3 linked regions of the Oryctolagus cuniculus genome follow. The protein of the gene in region 1 binds, or shares a complex with, the protein of each later gene. Links are inferred from orthologs where the notes say so. Each region holds a gene or a part of one and is shown on either strand. Other genes may lie near its edges.

What was found.
Region 2: the proteins of FGFR1 (region 1) and FRS2 are in contact, whole or in part, in an NMR structure (PDB 1XR0), measured with the Homo sapiens proteins. The link is inferred for Oryctolagus cuniculus from reciprocal best matches to the Homo sapiens genes FGFR1 and FRS2. Residues at the interface, in NP_075598.2 of Homo sapiens: His409, Ser410, Gln411, Met412, Ala413, Val414, His415, Lys416, Leu417, Ala418, Lys419, Ser420, Ile421, Pro422, Leu423, Arg424, Arg425, Gln426, Val427, Thr428, Val429, Ser430; in NP_001036020.1 of Homo sapiens: Asn25, Val26, Asp27, Asp28, Leu33, Leu47, Thr49, Arg50, Asp53, Ser54, Val55, Trp57, Leu60, Cys61, Leu62, Arg63, Arg64, Tyr65, Gly66, Tyr67, Asp68, Ser69, Leu71, Ser73, Phe74, Gln81, Thr82, Ile86, Phe87, Ala88.
Region 3: the proteins of FGFR1 (region 1) and PLCG2 are in contact, whole or in part, in a cryo-EM structure (PDB 8JQI), measured with the Homo sapiens proteins. The link is inferred for Oryctolagus cuniculus from reciprocal best matches to the Homo sapiens genes FGFR1 and PLCG2. Residues at the interface, in NP_075598.2 of Homo sapiens: Lys504, Asn506, His541, Lys542, Lys598, Ser602, Tyr605, Gln606, Arg609, Glu612, Tyr613, Ser616, Lys617, Lys748, Asp755, Arg756, Val758, Ser762, Gln764, Glu765, Tyr766, Leu767, Asp768, Leu769; in NP_001412678.1 of Homo sapiens: Phe528, Arg540, Thr568, Phe569, Pro570, Asn571, Phe577, His585, Cys586, Arg587, Arg589, Ser590, Thr591, Met592, Gly595, Leu601, Thr602, Asn604, Leu622, Arg623, Cys624, Ala625, Glu626, Phe627, Glu738.

Annotation. Positions count from the first base shown.
Region 1 is NC_091433.1:88,167,649-88,171,235, reverse strand, and holds part of FGFR1 (fibroblast growth factor receptor 1), read left to right. Parts: intron 1-3,267; coding exon 3,268-3,534; intron 3,535-3,587. UniProt on the Homo sapiens protein: Tyrosine-protein kinase that acts as a cell-surface receptor for fibroblast growth factors and plays an essential role in the regulation of embryonic development, cell proliferation, differentiation and migration.
Region 2 is NC_091442.1:72,013,198-72,017,246, forward strand, and holds the start of FRS2 (fibroblast growth factor receptor substrate 2), read left to right. Parts: upstream 1-1,165; 5' UTR 1,166-1,329; intron 1,330-1,569; exon of another isoform or gene 1,570-2,330; intron 2,331-2,990; exon of another isoform or gene 2,991-3,013; intron 3,014-4,049. UniProt on the Homo sapiens protein: Adapter protein that links activated FGR and NGF receptors to downstream signaling pathways.
Region 3 is NC_091449.1:63,935,221-63,938,807, forward strand, and holds part of PLCG2 (1-phosphatidylinositol 4,5-bisphosphate phosphodiesterase gamma-2), read left to right. Parts: intron 1-27; coding exon 28-146; intron 147-941; coding exon 942-1,027; intron 1,028-1,960; coding exon 1,961-2,081; intron 2,082-3,587. UniProt on the Homo sapiens protein: The production of the second messenger molecules diacylglycerol (DAG) and inositol 1,4,5-trisphosphate (IP3) is mediated by activated phosphatidylinositol-specific phospholipase C enzymes. It is a crucial enzyme in transmembrane signaling.

The sequences.
Region 1 (3,587 bases):
CAGGAACGCCGTACTAAACACAGTTGAGATATACCCTTTAAATAGGTGAACTTTACAGTGTGTGAATTATCTCTCTGATGTTAAGAGAAAGAAACAATATAAAATGGTGTGTAATTGGGTATAAATTTATATAGTGCAGACAGTAAGTGTTCTTCAGAAAATTAGGGAGAGATGCCAGTGTAAACAGAAGACTTCCTGGACATTGTAAAAATTATTAGTCAGTCAATTTATTTACTTGAGAGCCAGAAACAGAAAGAGTCATCCACTGGTTCACTCCCCAAATGCCCACACCAGCCAGGGCTGGGTCAGGTCAAAACTGGGGACCAGGGACCAGGAATAGTCTCCCTTGTAGATGGCAGGGACCCAACTACTTGAGTCATCAGCTGCCACCTCCCAGGATGCCTGGAAGTTGGAATCAGGAGCAGCACCAGGACTATAACCAGGCACAAGTGTCCCAACCAGTGTTCTGCTGGGCCACGCACCTGTCCCTTCCAGGGCATTTCTGATGGAGGACCTGCTGAGACAGTCCTCGGCAGGGTAAGCTTTGTTGTGTCAGGGCTCAGAACAGGCAGCCATGGAAAACAAGGCAACTGGCTGCAGAGGGTGGGGTCAGATTTAGGGAGCCTTGACTGAAGGCAAAGCAAGGGTGTTGGGTTTATTCATCCCATAAACAGTGTAGGAATTTTTTAAAAGATTTTTTAATTTATTTTTGAAAGTCAGAGTTAGGGAGAGATAAAGAGAGAGAGAGATCTTCCTTCCACTGGCTCAGTCCCCCAGATGGTCACCAACAGCCAGCAATGGACCAGGCCAGAACCAAGAGCTTCTTCCAGGTCTCCCGCATGGGTGGCAGGGGCCCAAATGCTCGGGCCATCTTCCACAGCTTTTCCTAGGCCATTAGCACGGAGCTGGATCGGAAGTGGAGCAGCCAGGGACTCGAACCAGTGCCAATATGGGATGTTGGCATTGCAGATGGCAATTTACCCACAATGCCAGCACTCAGTGTGGGGATCTTGATCAGGAGAATACAGTACATACAGACTTGAGAGCAAGGTGGGGTTGGGGGTCTTGACCCCAGGCATTGGAGGTTCTCCAGAGGTGAGGTGCAAGGAAGGAGAGGATAGAGCAGACTGAGACATGTTAGGAGACGAATCCAGGAAAAGAGTTGGCCCTGGAGGCTTTTTATAGATCCTGTACAAGAGTTTGGTTTGCACGTCTGGTTGGGATGGCGCCAGCTGGGCCAGGTCTCTGCCGCCTCCTCTTGATGGGGGTGGGGGGGATGCCTGATTCTGCTCCTTGCTGCATTTTGTCTTTGGAGTTCCTTTTTGTCTCCCGGACCTGTGGAAACAGGCTGTGTGATGCCAGAGGCGAAGAATTTGAGTTTGCTATTGACCAGCGGCCGGTACAAGTCATGCACTGCAAAATATTTAATCAGTGAGGTCATTTGAGGGGAGCGAGATTTGATCAATAGGAGTGTCTGCAGTTTTCCTTAAGGGTCAAGTCCAAACGGATTGTCTAACACTTTCATTTGGCAAAACCACAGTCCATTAAAACTGGGAAGGGTCGGTTTTTCTGAGGCCCACAAAGGCTCATTTTTAACCCACTCACTTCTGCGGTGTCCCCTTGACTGGACTCACAGGAATAAACCACATGCTGGCCTTGTGGTTCCAGAACCCCTCATAATGCAGCACCCAGTTTTCAATGACCCAGTATTGGGCTGACACGGGCCAGGGACTGCAGCCCAGGCCACCCAGCCTTACCTGTTCGTCGTGGTCCCAAGGACCCATTGGAGCAAACCCCTGTGGGTCCCTGGTGTTGTCCGGTGCCAGGGGACCCCTTTTCCATTTATAGGGTGTTTAGCAGAAACCTTTTGAGCACCCCCAAAATGAGAGGTGCAGGAGAAATGGGAGCGCAGAAAGGGGCACAGTGAAGGGGCGTGCAGCTGCCCCAGCAGGGGCTGAGATCCTGGGTGCTGAGTGGCAGACCAAGTGCTACAGATTCAAAGGTAAATGCGACTCTCATCCCACAGTCCCACCAGGCGGGCATTGCAGGTGGCTTCCTGGAGGAGTCGCCAGCCAGAGCCAGGCAAAGAGACACACAGGGGCCCCTGCGGGGTGGGGTGGTGGGTGGGGGTAGCCGCAGGTGAAGCAGGGCTGAGGGAGAGAGGGCACGTGTGTTCTGAGTCAGAGCCTCAGGGCCAGGGGCCTGCAGGGCATTTTCTGGGAGCGGCTTAGGCTCAGCAGGAGTGCGGAATCGGCCTGATGGAAGAGGCTGCGATCTTAGTCAGGCGGTGGGTGACAGACACCAACTGTGTGCGTTCTTTTGGTGCAAGAAGAGGCCAGGGATACCTCTGCACAGTCCTTACAGGAAGCAGGACCCCCATTCCCCCTCTTTGGTGCAAAGGAGCGTACAGGCCAGGATGGAAGAGGTGCTGTGGCCGGAGGGTCAGGAGAGGGTTGGGTGCTCTGGGTAGCATGGGATCATGTGAGTTCTGGACACCCTGGGTGGGTCCGGTGCAGGGGACAGGCAAAGTCGAGTGGCTGAGACAGCGCTGGGGACAGAGGAAGGTGGGGACACACAGGGCGAGCTGGGCGGTGGGCCGAGGAGAAAGGAGCTTTGTGTGCAGCAGCGTCTGCTGCCAGAGCAAGTGTGGGTTTGGGGCAGCTGCGGGCCTCCCTTCCTTATATAGGCAAAGGCTCCAAATCCTCTGGCCCAGCACCTGTCAGAGAGAGGCTCCCCTGAGCTGACCTCGCCTCTGCCTCCTTGGAGGCCAGACCCCCACACACACTGAACCACGGGAACTGCGGCCCCCCCCCCCCCCCCCCGTGACAGACAGGGGTGGGGGCTGCTGGATTTCGGAGGGGCAGGGCTTGTCCAACTGTTGTTAGGGGAAGGGGTGTCCCTGTGGGGGCAGTGGCCACTCCTGGCAAAGAACTGGGCGTGTGCGGGGCAGCATCTGGCCACAGAGGAGGCCTGGGGAGGGCGGCCTCTCCCTTAGGATGGCGGGAAACGCAGTGTGATCCGCTTAACGCTGCTGCAGCTGCTTCCTAACTTTGCCTCTTTTCTTCCTTTGACTTTTGGAGGAGCGGGGTGGGGGAGAGGAGCCAGGGGTCCCAGGCCGCCAGCTGTCTTCCCACTGACCCGTATTCCCAGCCCCAACGCCAGTTCGAGGAAGTGAGGCCCGGTGGTGGCCAGCGTAACTCCCCCTTTGTCTCTCCCTCCTCCCTCGCCCGCCACTGCCTCCTCTGCCCGTCCCTGGGGTGGCTGCAGCCCAGCCCTGGGGAGCCCCTGTGGAAGTGGAGTCCTTGCTGGTCCACCCGGGTGACCTGCTGCAGCTTCGCTGTCGGCTGCGGGACGATGTGCAGAGCATCAACTGGCTGCGGGACGGGGTGCAGCTGGCAGAAAGCAACCGCACGCGCATCACGGGCGAGGAGGTGGAGGTGCGGGACTCCGTGCCCGCCGACTCCGGCCTCTACGCATGCGTGACCAGCAGCCCCTCGGGCAGCGACACCACCTACTTCTCCGTCAACGTCTCAGGTTGGTAGCAAAGCCCCGCCCTCACGCTCTCCCCGCACCTACCCCCTCCGGCC
Region 2 (4,049 bases), on another chromosome or scaffold:
TGGAGGCAGAGGCTTAGCCCACTACACCAGAGCCCCCGCCCTTCATAGGAAGTTTTTGAAAAGCGTCCCCCACTGTATGAAGAGACATCAGTGGGTTTGTTTTGCAGATAGTGTGCACGCTAAGAGGCCCCCCTCCACCCTTGCCCCTTTATCTGCCCTCAGACATTTGAGGTCTTTCCAGAGTCGGGCACCTTTCCTGGCCCGTCACGTGACTCTGGGTCCTCAGCCCGTCTTGGCTCAGAGCCTCGCAAGTATCCAGGCTGGCCTACCTGGTGAAAATTTGTACTCTTTGTTTCCTTCACCAGCCCTTCTATGGCCCATCGCGGGTGAGGTAGAACAGTTGACTTTTACTTCGTGTCAGATACTGAACTGTTCTGCATGCACTATCAATCTGATACGGTAATTCAGGGATGATGGATTATACATACATACATAAACAACAAGGCAACTGAGGGTTAGGTTAAGGGACTTGCCAGGGAGGAAAACTGAAAGCGAGTAAGATCCAGGCAGGGAGACTCCAGGACTGCCCCACCTCTTGGCCTTTGTTGCCAGTGGCAAGCGACGACAGAATTGATATAGATCTATATAATTTAGTTTCTGTCCTTCAAGAGCTTAAAAATCCTGTTAGGGTTAGAGGAGAGTTATAGACACAGCGCGACTTAAAATAAAACCAAGAGGCAGCATTTGTGGTATTGGGTTTGGTATCTTCGCCTCCTCTGCCAAGATGTAAATAGCACCAACCTCGAGAGGCTGGCGGAGCGCACGCACCAGAACCGCTGGGTACAGTGCCCACCGCGTAGTAAGCGGCCCACCGATGCCAACGACCTCTGTTTGTAAGGCAGGCAGGTGGGAGTGAACGCTGGCGAGGCGACGGGCCAGGTGTGTGGGTGCGCAGCACTTTTGCACCGCAACTTTCCAAGCCTCAGCTTTCGTTCTGCGAAACTACGGCCTGGAGCACAACCACCCCTAAGCGCAGTGAGAAAGTAAAGGCTGCAACCTCACCCCCAGGAGCCCAGCAGCCGCGGGGCCGAAAGGGTTAGCCCAGGGCCCGGGGGCGGCTTTGCGGGCGCCGGCGGGAGAGGCCCCGCCCCGGCCCGGCCCGCCCAGGAGGCCCTGGCAGCTCCAGCCCGCGAGCAGTTCCGGTGCCAAAACCCTTCCCTCCCCCGCTCCCCCGGAAGTGCTTTTCTAGGATTCGGGCCGGAGAGAGGCCTTGTAGGCACAGCCGCTGGGGCTCGATCGGGTCCGAGTACGGGCTCCTCCCGGGTTTGGAGTGCGGGAGTCCGCTCCCGCCGACCCGCGTCCTGCCCGTGGCCAGCAGCGGGGCCGATGGTGAGTGGCCGCGGGAAGGGACTGGGGCGGCCGCGAGCCCGCGTCGGAGCTAGCGCTCTGGGGGCCCCCGCTGCCCGCTCCGGGACTCGGGGCTCCGGACTGTGGGCTCGGCTGTCGGGGTCCGGGAAAGGGTGTTGTCGACCGCCGCGGTCACAGCCCAGCCCGGGGGTGCGGGGGGCGGGAAGAAGCGGGTTGCGGGGCCCTGGGGTGGGCGGGGCGGAGCCTAGGAGGGGGGTTCCCGGAGCTGTTGTTGCTGTTGGGACTCGGGAATCGGGATGGGCTGGGCCTCTGTCCGTCCGCCCCCCTCGCTTCTGCTCCCCCAAATCTCGCCGCCTCCCGGGTGTGAGTTTCTGTGTCTGATTTGGGGCGATAGACTTGGACCCTAGACCCGATCCTGGGCTCCAGTGCCTGACTTTTTCCTCTTTTGGGTCTGCCGCCGGGCTCAAGAATTAGCCCGGGTCCCAGGGGTGCCGCCGCTTCGGTCCCAGGGTGGGGCGCTGCTGGTGTAGATGCCGAAGATCTTCTGCAAGGCTTTTCGTCCATGCCCACTTCGGGGTTGTCCTGGATGGATTTGGACTGCGCTCGGCATCGGTTCGGGAGACGTAGGTTCCCGTGGCGCCAGTGCCTTGCATGTTCCTTTCTCGCTTGAAAGCTTGTTGAAGCTTGTTGTGGAAGTCACTTCAAAACAAAAAACAACTTGCCTGACGAAAACAGCGAGTTCAGATAATTTCGCCTAGCGTCTTGCTGACGTCAGAAAATGATGGTGTTCTTTAAAGTGCGCTCGGGAGTCAGAGTTGCGTTGAGTTCAGTCAAGAGGTTTATCGCACGAACCGATTGCAGAGGCTGGGAGAGTTATTAAGTCCCCTTCCTTCCAAAGTTTGCTTCCCTTTCTGTTTGGAACTGTCATGCTCCTTAACTTTCAAAGAGAAGCCGCGCTTGATTTCTCCGGAAAGGCTCCCGGTACCGTTACAGCTGTTGCTGCAATGCAGGGGTTCACACAGGTGGGCAGAGGAGTTTTGTTTGCTTAAACTTACATCGTGAAGTGTTTGCCTCGCTAACTTGAGAGTTTCCTGGAGAAGAGGATGATGTAGGGAGTTACTTCTAGGAAGCAGGTTTTGAGGTACTAAACTGAAGGAAGGTTTGTGGGAAATACGGGTTTTCTATATTTGATTTTTTTTTTAGTATGGCCATAAGGGAATGCAGTGAAGACGGATTATGACTGTGAGCGGTTGACAACTGTGTTTGCAGTGTGAAGTATACACGGAAGTCACTTTGATGCAGCGCGTGGCCCTCTCTGCACCTCTCGTGTTGTGCTTCTATTAGGACTTATACTGTAGTTTTTTGGGTGCTGATGTCATTCTCTCTCCTCCCACCGCCGGCAGGGGAGGGAAGTAATATCATGAATTAGGGAAAATAGACTGAAGTGACAAGTTCAGTGAGCTCTCTTATGCAAAGGAAAATTTATTTCGGCAGTGTTGATCTTGAGCAAGCAAACGGTGGCTGATTTTAAAAGTCCCTGGAAAAAATTGTAGAGATGAGTTGCACAACTTTAAGATTGATATGCGAACTGTAGATCCTTAGGCATTTGAAGCGCTTGATTGTTTAGAACATAAGGTTGGATGATTGTAATTGAGAGAATCTGGAAAAGAATCAAGTTAGATTTGCGTATGGGTCTGCACTACAGGTATGTATTTAATGCGTTTGAAGAAAAATATTTCAAGAGTTGTTAAGAGCAGAAAAAGAAGATTGGGGAAAATCGCCTTATTTGACACATTGCAAATTTTATATTACTCCGGTCAGTTCAACAAATGCTGAACATTTGCTGTGGGCCGAGATGTGTTAAGCAGCTGTGGGCAGTCTTAGCCACAAGGCCGAGAAGCGATGTGTTAAGCAACTATGCAGGAGCAAATAAAGATAGAGCTGTACAACTAAGACTCATGTTTTGGCAGTAATTTTCTGAGGTGTGCCTGAAATCCTCAAGAGTTGAATTATATTGTTTAGGCATTACTGATCTTCCCCCCCCCCCCCCCCCCCATTGTTGGGACTTAACATCAGAGGTAGGTGTTGAGAGCCTCGTGAAAAGCACAGTGTTCTGCTTAACTTAAGGCTGGGAAGATCCCGTCTTTGGTCTTTAGGACTTGGAAATCTAGTTGGGGTGTAAGATATTTGCATAGAAATTTACAACATAAAGGAATACATGTAAATACTACCTCGGTGGTTTGATCTAAAGTTTGGAGTTGTGTAAAAGGAAAAGGGGCTCATTTTTAGTTTAAGTAACTGTAGGAAGTAGGAGATAAATATTTACAAGGATAACTCTGCAACTCTTGTTTATTGGCCATTTACGGAGCAGCAGGCTATATGCTAGTGCAACAACCTGTTAGCCATCTTTCTTAATAATGAAGATGCTGAGGCTCAAATATGTAAAGTAACCTGCTGGGGGCTTTGTGGCTGGCAGGTAACAGTCCTCAGTTGAATTTGTATCTGTCTGGTGCCAAAGCCTGTGCCTCTCCACAACCTGGCACTGTATCCTCATACACTGGCAACCCAAGTTCGTTGTTTTCTGAGACAAAGGTTTTGAGCTTGGGATTAGGCGGGTGAAGATGACGTTTCAAATAAAGAGATTGTGGCTAGAAGACGTGTGGTGTTGGAAAGGTTCCTTATGTATCTAGAGAAGAGTTAGTGGAAGAGGTGGAAAAGGTTTCTTGGGGGAGAAAAAAAGA
Region 3 (3,587 bases), on another chromosome or scaffold:
CATCCCTGCCGTGTTTGACTCTTTCAGTTCCTCACGTACCTGTTCTCGCGAGAAAACAGCATCTGGGACGAGAAGTACGACGTGGTGGACATGCAGGACATGAACAACCCCTTGTCTCATTACTGGATCTCCTCCTCCCACAACACGTGAGTGTCGCCGTGGGCTCTCCGTTCTGGCAAAGCGTGTTGCATGACGGCCACCATGTGTCCCAGTCTGGAATATACAGAACCTTCTGGAAGGGGCCGGGGATGGGGGATGCAGCTCCATTTCCCAGCAGGCCTGGCAATGATAATCCTTTCTCAGCGGCTCTGCCAAGCAAGTCGGCAGAGCTGCTTTGCACAGTTGAGGCCTCTCATACTGGCCACAGAAAAGCAATTCCCCTAGTTGTTGGGCTGATATTCACAGGCTACCTACTATGTGCCTGCCACCTGCTAGGGAAACAGGGCATGAGGGGAGAGCAGCCTCATCTCCCTGTGCTTGGAGGGGCAAGGCCACCTTGGACGTGGCCATGACTGTGAGTTGATGAGAGAACCAGCAATAGGGCAGAGAGGAGCGGTTCAGGAAACAGAGCACCACATACCAAGGTCTCGAGGCAGAAATAACCTATGAAGGCCAGCGTGTAGGGTATGGGGGGGAGGGCGGGGCACAGCGATTTTGTGCCCGACCTCTGCCCTGCTGGGCAGCTGCGGGGGGGGTGGCGTTCACTTTTCACCTGCCCCCGTGTCACTGGTGCCCCGGGTTCTGCTGGGGGCACACGTGCGTCTGTGTTGCCCCGGTGGTTACTGCGCACGACTTGCACCAGTGGCCCGAGTTGAAGGTCTGTGGCCACGTGATGGCCGTCCTTGGATCTTTCGAGCTGTGAAGATCTTTCAGGACCTTGGCGGCTCGGGCCTAGGGGCGGGGCTGCCTGCCCACCATGGCCACCTGCCTCTCCCCCTCAGGTACCTCACTGGGGACCAGCTGCGGAGCGAGTCCTCCACGGAGGCGTACATCCGCTGCCTGCGCCTGGGCTGCCGCTGCATTGAGTGTGAGTGGAGGAGGCGGGTGTGGGGCCAGGAGGCTGTGGGGCTTCTTCCTGCTGGAGGTGGGCGGGACTGGCGGAGGCAGGCGCAGGTGCCTGTCGAGTCGTCGATGGTATGAGACCTGGGACCTCTCACAGTCGCTGAGACAAGGAGCGGTGTCTGGAGCCTGACGGGTCCATGGTTTGGGGCGTCCTGAAAAATGTCCCAGTGTCACAGGAGCCTGGGGTAGGGGTGGCAGTGCCAAGGACGGTGCTCTTGTCTTTGGTGCTCACCCTGCTTCTGTCGGGGTTGGTTTCAGAGAGCGCCTCGGTGCCCTTGAGGGTGGACAGGTGGTTCCTAGAGTACCCGGAGCCCCACATGACCTGCACGGTGAGGGTGGCTCTGAGACAGATGGCCGACCTCGCATCCTTCCTCCCCTCTGGTCCTCCCATCTCTTCCCAGTTGGCCTGGCTCACTCTACCCCTGGGGACTTGCAGGTATCTTCGGCTGGGCGCCGGCACATACCACGGACTCAGGCTCTGGTGTCACAGGGAACGGTTATCTCACAGACCTCTGGGTTAATACTTTTAATTCCCCACCAGGAAAAAGCAAATGCGACAGAGTCAAGTGTGACTCCGTCAGCTGCTGCTGCCCTCTGGGGGATGGAGACCCAGAGCCCAGATCTCGTCCCGTGTGAATATTCGAGTGATGCTTGCAAATGCGTTTCTCTTGCTGTTTGTCGTATGCACCAGCAGAGAGGCAAGCCACAGTGAGGCAGGTGACAGCAGAAGATAAACCCCTTTCAGACACCTGTTTTAAACTGAGGCAGTGAAGCTAGGAACTACGTGACGTAGGTCCCAGGTAGCCACACGGATGCAGGAGAACCGTCCTCACCTGGGTGGCCTCCAGCTGCTCTCAGTGGGCGTGTGTGGGGCTGAGGCCACTGCCCTTCTCCCCAGTGGACTGCTGGGACGGGCCCGACGGGAAGCCCATCATCTACCACGGCTGGACGCGGACCACCAAGATCAAGTTCGACGACGTCGTGCAGGCCATCAAAGACCACGCCTTTGTCACCTCAAGGTGAGTTGGTGGCCTTTAAAGAAAGGCAGCTAGGAGTGGATTGACGGGCAGATATAGATGCTGCCTGCCTTCCCCAGACAGAAGAGGCCTGAGCTCCATCCTAGCCAGTCACCCGTGAGCCCCAGCTGACTGTTGGTGCCCCCTACAGGTCAAGAGTGCAGGAGGCTCCCACAGCGCCCTGCACCCTCCGGTTCTCAGCCTGCTCTCTGTTTCTGAGCCTGTCCAAAGAGAAAGACAGCCAAGGTTCCCTTCCTGCTAAAATCCTCCTTGCTTCCCAGGTCCCCAGAGGCCTGTGGGATCCAAAGAATCTGGTGGTGGTAGCAGTGATGGTATGGATAGTGATGGTGATGATGGCAGTGTGGGTTGTTGGTGGTGATGGTGGTGGTGGTAGTAGTATTGGTTAGTGGTGATGGCATTGGTGGTGGTGGTGGTTGGTGGTAATGGTATTGGTGATGATGGTGACAGAGGTTGTTGGTGATGCTGATGGTATTATATGGGTTGTTGGTGATGGTATTGGTGATATTGGTGGTGGTTTTTGGTGGTTGTGATGGTGGTGGTTGGTGATGGTGATAGTATGAGTTGTTGGTGATGGTAAGGTAGTATATGGGTTGTTGGCGATGGTATTGGTGATATTGGTGTGGTTGGTGGTGGTAGTGATGGTGGTGGTTGGTGGTGATAGTGATGGTGGTAGTGTGGGTTGTTGGTGATGATAGTAGTGATGATGGTGGCAGTGGTTGGTGTGATGGTGGTAGTGTGGGTTGTTGGTGGTGATGATGGTGGTGGTTGGTGCTAGTGCTGGTGGCGGTAGTGCTGGGTTGTTGGTGTTGATGGTATTAGTGATGATGCTGGCCATGGTTGTTGGTGATTGTGATGGTAGTGCTGGGTGGTGGTGTCTTTCCCCGGGGCTGGCCTCTGCACCAGGCTCTTTGTCCATGTGATCTCAAGCAGGCATGGTTGTGTAGGGACACAACACTGGGGTCAAGCAAGTCAGCGCTGACATTTTGCTTGGTTTGTGTGACTTCTGAACCGGGTCTGATCCTCTCTGTTTGGGCAGCCCGTGATCTAGGCCTTGACCGGGGATCCGGGGTCCCCGTGAAGGACCGGACAGCAGTGCCTGGGCCCTGTGGTCTCTATTGCAGCCCCCACTTAGCCCGTTTGCTGCGGCTCAGAGACAGCCACGGCACGACTTGAGCAGTGGGCATGGTGCGTGCAGGTGAGACACAGGAAAGTCCAAGGCAGCCTGGATTTGGTATGTGGGCCTCGGTTTGTTGGCTCCTGGTCTGGGCTCCTTGTGGCTGTGGACAGCTGGCGAGAGGCCTGTGGTAGCCTCAGAGGTGTGAGACTGCTGCACTGCGCCCTTTGAACTCTGTCAGTGACCCGTCTGGGCCAGGGACTCTGCATTCTGTGCTTTGGTTCCGGTATCTTAAGAAGTGGCGGTGAGGGTCATGTGTGCCTCCCAGGGCTGTGCAGAGAGAAAGCGCCGTGATGGACAAGTGCTTAGCGCTG